Linked DNA regions of Drosophila melanogaster. Each later gene encodes a partner of the first gene's protein in a complex. Each region holds a gene or a part of one and is shown in the gene's direction. Other genes may lie near its edges.

The links. The genes of interacting proteins can lie anywhere in the genome.
Region 2: the proteins of pins (region 1) and insc are in contact, whole or in part, in a crystal structure (PDB 5A7D), measured with the Drosophila melanogaster proteins. Residues at the interface, in NP_524999.2 of Drosophila melanogaster: Gly39 (codon at 2,363), Ser40 (codon at 2,366), Ser41 (codon at 2,369), Met42 (codon at 2,372), Leu44 (codon at 2,378), Glu45 (codon at 2,381), Leu46 (codon at 2,384), Ala47 (codon at 2,387), Leu48 (codon at 2,390), Glu49 (codon at 2,393), Glu51 (codon at 2,399), Ala64 (codon at 2,438), Phe65 (codon at 2,441), Ala68 (codon at 2,450), Asp76 (codon at 2,474), Arg78 (codon at 2,480), Thr79 (codon at 2,483), Ser81 (codon at 2,489), Ala82 (codon at 2,492), Ile83 (codon at 2,495), Ser85 (codon at 2,501), Gln86 (codon at 2,504), Asn89 (codon at 2,513), Phe92 (codon at 2,522), His104 (codon at 2,558), Asp107 (codon at 2,567), Ala111 (codon at 2,579), Gly119 (codon at 2,603), Lys122 (codon at 2,612), Ser123 (codon at 2,615); in NP_477024.1 of Drosophila melanogaster: His306, Pro307, Glu308, Pro309, Val310, Ser312, Trp313, Met314, Glu316, Gln317, Arg318, Trp319, Ala320, Gly321, Glu322, Pro323, Glu324, Val325, Met326, Cys327, Thr328, Leu329, Gln330, His331, Lys332, Ser333, Ile334, Ala335, Glu337, Ala338.

Annotation. Positions count from the first base shown.
Region 1 is NT_033777.3:27,580,840-27,584,591, forward strand, and holds the start of pins (partner of inscuteable), read left to right. Parts: upstream 1-2,000; 5' UTR 2,001-2,248; coding exon 2,249-3,535; intron 3,536-3,752.
Region 2 is NT_033778.4:20,834,390-20,838,141, reverse strand, and holds the start of insc (inscuteable), read left to right. Parts: upstream 1-2,113; 5' UTR 2,114-2,472; intron 2,473-3,752.

The DNA of each region.
Region 1 (3,752 bases):
ACACACACTCGGTGCGAGAGAGACACACACACGCACGCGGCACAAAATCGATATTCTAAAAATAATATAAGTAAAAAATATATATGCTCATACGAATTCTAACCGATTGCGTGCGTGTATTTGTGTGTGCGTGTGTGTGTGCGGGCTGGCTGGATTGCGAGCGTAATTACATATTTATTTATTTATTAAAACTTTTGAAACACCGAATTGCGTCTGGGGATTTAGCCGCTTACTGCGCACTTGAAAAATTTGCATTCGCCTTGGAAATTTGGCTTTAATTTTGCACTCGGCTTTGTTTAGTTGCCTTTTATTTCTCCTTCTTTATTCGGGCTTGGAATTTTCGCTGCAGAATTTATTAAAAACCGACTGCGTATGTGTGTATATAAAAGATTTCTATATCTTTTGCAACCGACGACGAAGGCGGCATACGGCAACTGTGGCGATATTTTTTTCCTTCGTCCGACTCTCGCGCTCTCTTTTCGTTTTCGGCTTGCTCTCTCTGGCACATGGGTATATACTATACGCGAGAGGGAGCAGGCACACACAAACGAAAAGCCTGCCTCCAATTGATTAGTATTAGTACTTCGAATAGTATTACTATTGTTATTGTTTTCATCTAGCTGACTTTCAATTGTTTGGTGCTGATATTTAGCTAGATTCCCCAGGTGCGATTACTCATTTGGCTTTTGTTTCGAGACCACTGTGCCAGATTTCTGGGTGAGAGCGTGGTGAGTTTCGTTTCAACTCACCACAGAAACTGTTGTTGCGCGTCGCGCTCTCTATTTAGGCGGCTCTCTCCCACACACGGTCACACTACAGTCCCAAAAATGAATGAAAATACCACAAAATACCATCCAACGCACGGGCACACCGGCGAACTGAAAGACGCCGCTGCTTTCAAGTTTTTCTCCCGTTTTTATTTCCTATCGAGGGCGATAACCAAACAAGGCTATCGTTATCGACCTCTCGCTCGCTCTGTATCCCTCCTTCCCTGTCGCACTCGCTCTCCTTTTGTGTGGCTAATTTTTTCCTTTTAGTCCTTTTTTCGGTTGCCTTCGTGCAGAAATTCCCTGCTTTATGTAATTTAGAACACAATGTTTGCGTTGCACTGTTGGCCGACTGCAGCTGAAAACCGCACAAAAAAAGCGACGCACACACACACCTTCGAGCATCCGGACTTCCAATTTGCACTGCTTTTCTAACAGTCTATCGCGCACGCACTGCCACAATTTCACCCGCTTATCGCGCCGCAATATGGGACGTTCGCTTTTCAATCGATTTTGGTAACCGGCAGGTGCGCTTTATGCGAGAATTACGAATTTTCTCCAGCGGCAACTAGAATCGTTCACACAGACACCGTAGAAGTGACGCCATCTTTGAAGCGATTAGTGTTGCAAAGCGCGTCTGCAAAAGTGCTGGCTACCAACTACGGTTGATAGGGATGAGGGCTATGGCTTGTTGACCGAAAATGATAAATGTTAACTATGCCAATATATTTTAGATTTTACTAATACGTTACAAAAATAAGAAAAGACTATGATAAAATTGTGTTTTAGCTTGGCTCATAAGTATTGATCCTTTATAAGCTATGGTCTTGCAGTGGCTAACATTTCTCAAATTAGGGCAACCATCTGATAAGATTTCTAATTCGAATTCTAATAAATGAATTTAAACTGCTTTTTCTTAAAGTTAAAAAAAAATTAGTTTTAAATCAAACGGCATGCATACATTAACCATCAAACAATGTAATTATATATATAATATTACCAATTGGGCTACTAAATATTGCTGATATGTAAGCTATGGTCATGAGGTAAAGGCATATTATTTATATAATTTTCATAGTATCTTTGTTGTAGGGGAAAAATAACAAGTAATTTAAAATTGTTCAATTGACTTAAAACAAAATATAACAGATATTATTTTTAAATCCAACGACATACCATATAAAGTTGGTATTTCTTTCTAATCTGCTTGGTATTCTCATCGACCCCAATCGGTCACACTGGTCGTGAATCAGAAACGCACTAATTAGTCAAAAAAACGGTACAAAAGATCGCTTAATTGCTGAAATTTCACCTGTCGCAGTTAAGTTTACCCACCAGCAGTTCAAAACCAGCCAGAGGCTAGCTAAAAACCCCAAAGATCGACCCCAAAACATCGCCGCAAAGTGGACAACTCCCAGTTTTCAGAGCACCTGCCCCTCAAAAAGGAGCATCGCGACAAAAAGGCGAGACTTCGCAGCAGAATGTCCTCGCTCTCTGCGTCCGCGGAGAATGTGTCCAGTTTGGGACTGGGATCGGGCGGAGGAGGAACTACTTCCCACGACGGCAACTCCCAGCAGGGTTCCGGATCCGACGGAGGATCCAGTATGTGCCTGGAACTGGCCCTCGAGGGTGAACGCCTCTGCAAGGCGGGTGACTGCCGGGCGGGCGTGGCCTTCTTCCAGGCGGCCATTCAGGCCGGAACCGAGGATCTTCGCACTCTGTCCGCCATCTACTCCCAGCTGGGCAACGCCTACTTCTACCTAGGCGACTACAACAAGGCGATGCAGTACCACAAACACGATCTTACGCTGGCCAAGAGCATGAACGACCGACTGGGCGAGGCCAAGTCCTCTGGCAATCTGGGCAACACCCTCAAGGTAATGGGTCGCTTCGACGAGGCGGCCATCTGTTGCGAGAGGCACCTAACGCTGGCCAGGCAGCTGGGAGATCGTCTGTCCGAGGGACGCGCTCTTTACAACCTAGGAAATGTCTACCACGCCAAGGGCAAGCACTTGGGTCAGAGAAACCCTGGAAAGTTCGGCGACGATGTCAAGGAGGCGCTCACCCGTGCCGTGGAGTTTTACCAGGAGAATCTGAAGCTCATGCGGGATCTGGGTGATCGTGGTGCTCAAGGTCGAGCTTGTGGTAATCTGGGAAATACCTACTACCTACTAGGCGATTTCCAAGCGGCCATTGAGCATCATCAGGAGCGACTGCGCATTGCCAGAGAGTTTGGTGATCGCGCGGCTGAGCGAAGGGCCAACAGTAATCTTGGCAACTCGCACATATTCCTGGGACAATTCGAGGACGCCGCCGAACACTACAAACGCACCTTGGCTTTGGCCGTTGAGTTGGGTGAACGCGAAGTGGAGGCCCAGAGTTGCTACAGCTTGGGCAACACCTACACGTTGCTGCACGAGTTCAACACTGCCATCGAGTATCACAATCGACACTTGGCCATTGCCCAGGAGTTGGGCGATCGAATTGGTGAGGCCAGGGCCTGCTGGTCACTGGGCAATGCCCACTCTGCCATCGGTGGTCATGAGCGGGCCCTAAAGTATGCGGAACAGCATCTTCAACTGGCCAAGGAGCTGCACGACCCGGTGGGTGAAAGCACAGCCAGGGTGAACATCTCCGATCTACGAAAGCTACTCGGAATGCCCGACTCCGAGCCTTCACCCACCGAGGAGGAGGCTCGATCCACCGCCTCCGATCACTCGGCCAGCGGAAATCAGTCGGATGGATCGGAGAACTCGCAAGGAAGAATGGTAAGAGAAACGAGCTGCAACAACATAAAGCAATATGAATGATTCCTGAGATATTTTTAAACAATACTGGCAGTCCGTTTGTTCTATTTTTCGAAGTGGACACCTGCTGCTTGCAGTGTTTGCCCCTTTATGTTAGCGTAAATATTTATACTTTGTACCAAAACACATCGTTAAACTTTCGATTCGAGCACATGCTGAGAAATTGAAACCCCTGAAA
Region 2 (3,752 bases), on another chromosome or scaffold:
CTAAGCCAAGAACTTATAGTTCTTAGAAATATTCTAAAGATAAGATCATACTTGCTTGGTCTTGTTTAATTTCACATCTATGTAACAACCAAAATGGTGTTCCTTGCACTTAAGGTGGATACGTTTCTCTCAGTGTCCTTTTATGGCAGCTGCTCCGGCTGAACTGAGCTGAGCTGCGAGGCTCGTGCATTTCGTTAACGTGACAAAAATACATTGATTACATTTTTTTTAGCTGCACTCGACTCGGGGATCTGCGTTTTTGGGCTCTAGGAGCTAGGAGCTGGGATCTGGTAACTGGGAGCTGGAAAACTGGGTACTGGGTACTGGGAACTGGGACCTGGGCGCACGTCCGCACACTTGGCACATTTGTCAGGGCGACGCCGCGATGTAAACATCTTGCACGTAGGATCCGGGGTCCTTTTGCATCCTGGCTGGATGGCACGACAACTAGTTGTAGTTGGAATCGGAGTCCTCGTGCTGCACGGGGTCTTTGAACTGACAAATTACATTGACAACGAATGGGGCGAAATTCCATTCGTGTGCACTCTGAACTCCAACTCCTCTAGCTCCCCAGAACTGTCTCATTTTGTGAGGCTCCACACTGAAAAGTTTGGGGGTCAATGCCATGGCATTTCATATAAACAAAAAGTTAGGCATAACTGTCAGCAAGCAAATAAAATAAACAAATGTCAATAAATGACAATTGATTGTGCTTTTCAAAGTTTTCGGCCCAAACCATTATTAGTCAAATCAGATTGTCTATTTAGTTTACATTGTGTTAATGATTTAAAACTCTCGGTTTGGACACGATTTATTTGTATAGCCATTTGAAAATGGCATTTATTGTCATTTTTTTTTTTTATTGCTACGCGTTGTTAAAATTTCTTGAAAGGTGTCAATAGCAAACAGATGTTAAACGAGATACAGTATTGAATATTGGTTTTATTCTATGAATTTCGATCCTTCATAAGCGAAACATTGTTTTCATTTGTTAGTTTCAGTGCACTTTGTTCATTAGTTGTTTGTGGATTTAATTTGCTTACTTGGCTCTGTGCTTTTGCTTATTGTTTCAGTTAGTTTCGCAATTTGGAAACTATCTCAAATTGGCAATAGTGAAAAGAGCAAACACATCGTGGGCTCCTCTTAATTATTTTCACCGACGAACGGGTGGGCGATCGAACTCTTATGGCTGTAATAATTGGTGCAAAATTGTTCAATTGCCTAATTGCTGTCGATTGCTCATAATTTTTAGTGTAACACTGTGTATTTGTGGCACATTTTCGTTTTATGGCCACGAGCGTTCATGAATGAATGGGCTTTATTTACAGGGCATTTAAAAGTTTCGGGTAATCTTATCACCCAGAAGTGTTCAAACTTGCGCAAGTCATCAAACAAATTTCGAAACGGAAATACCAAAGGGTTGAAATAGTCTAAACGAAAAGATAACTGCCTTAAAATTGCGCCCAAAATTCGCACAAAATCGCAGTAACAATAACAAGCGAACCTAATCAAAAATCCAAAATCTCAGGCAGCTGCGCATGCGTAGCAGATGAAAGAGATAGCGAGAGATCGCACCTTTGAAAATGCTACCGGAACAGCTGGCGCAGAAGAGCGAGAGGGAAGACAGGAGTGAGTGATAAGAAATAGCAACAAAAGCGCATAAACCACCACCAACTACTACAACAACGAACGCGACAAAGCGAACAATGCTCTTCATTATGCCCGTTATTATTAAACAAATAGGGAGAGCGAAAGAGAGAAAGGTGAGAGCGCACCATGTTGATAACACACCCCGTGTAGCTAAAAGTTAGCCAGATTCACAATTAAAGGAGCTAGAAATGCTGATATATGCTCAATTTGATTTATGATCACCTATAAAAACTTGATACTGATAATAGCAGCTAATAATACTTTAATTTTCAGTACCTTAAGACACATAATTCAAAGTATGCACTCAATTAAAACATTGTATTAGATATCCTTAGCTAGAAAGTAGTCAAGCTGCCAGCACTGCCTACCTTACTCACCCAGGTAATTTGACTCCGACTCTCCGGCTTACTGCTCTCCCACCCCGGGAATTAGAAGTCTGAGTCGAAGTCGCCAACTGTAGCCGCTCATTCGATTCCCAGCAGTCGAAGCACGCAGACGCAACCGCTGCGATCGTCGCGAGATATTTGTGTTCGATCATTGTTTTCGTATCGTTCGGGTTAACCACGTTCGTTGAGTGTCGTGTCGACTTGTGTTTACCGTTGTGCAGTGTTAAACTATTTACGCTTTGTCTTGTGGGTGCAGCACCCCCACCACCCAGCCACCCACTACACATACGCACTGTCAAGTTTTGTGGTGCCCAAAAGTAATCAAATGACACGTGCTTGAAATACACATTTTACTATCCATCAGTGGCGGCCGAAACAACAACAAAAGCATAAGCCAAACTTGGGATTACCTCGGCATTGTTTATACAGGAAAGCGGTAAGTTTTGGCCACAATAAACCGTAAAGCACATTCGGAATGCTTTGACCCCAATAAGCTTAACAATAAACACAAATATTCAATACGATTCCGCATACGCCCCTCGTAATTACACATGCCTTAATTCACATAATCACAAACTACAGACATATGTATATATTTATGTACCTCCGCCCATTTATTGAAGTAAATTCCGATGGTTTTTATTTTTGCTCATTCGAGGACCTCGCTAAGCCGCGTTTTATGACTCAGGAGCCTCACAAAGTCAAAGTCGTCAGACCGCAAACTGATTTCGTTCGCTTTTCTCCGAATGTTCTTTATAACGTAGATCCCACAAATGAGTCATCCGTGCGCTTGGGGATACCGGAGTGGATACATAACTGCCTGAGATACGTATGTATCGTATAATTGGGGGAGGCAGTGGGCTAAGGTGACTGATCAGGTTGATGGGGAATGAATGAGCTGGGGGTGCTGGTGACTAAGCCCCCAGCATTGGATAACGCTAATTGGGTTGGGTAAAGAAATGTGTGCACACAGATGTGATAGTCTGCTGGCTAGGAAAGAGTCACCTCTAAGGCAGTTGTGAATGGGTTACATTGAATAACATTCCAGTCAGTCCTCAAAAATATCCAGTTATGTAGCTTGAAATAAAAAACATTTCTAAAAGAAGATTTTTAAGTTTCTTTGAATGTTTTGGTTGGTCTCTTACATTTTAATCAGCTTATGCATTTGAAGAAGTTGGCTTTCGCCACCTCGAATACTTGTTATCTCGACTCATCTGGAAACCTCAGAATATATCAGTGGCACGATTTCAATCTCACCGCATTGTGGTGTTTCGCAGATTTCCCTAATTTCAGTTTGCCCGCGCCTAATTGCAATAATCAAGGGAGCACCGCATAATCTCACTGATCTAGTTCCAGTTTAAGAGCGTTTCTGCGGTCTCGATGGCTCCATTAGAGTGCTAAACACCGGCCATTACGGCGGTCATCAGGAGAGGTGTTATTACCTGGACGTCTGGACGTGGAAACCAGTCGGCACTGGAAGTCACTCACCTGTTGCGGCCAAGAGATCGATATCATTGACAATTGGTGTCGACGGTAGCAGCAGTGGTATATAATGCCAGTTCGATATGTTGCTACCGTTAGATGGGAAATGCCAAAGCAATGATGATTGTCCATTTGAGTGGGATTAACGTTTAATTTGGCTTAGTTTATTGATTTTCCATCGAACAGGTCGGTTAAATGTCAGGGAATGTCGCGAAATGGAACATTTCGTCGATT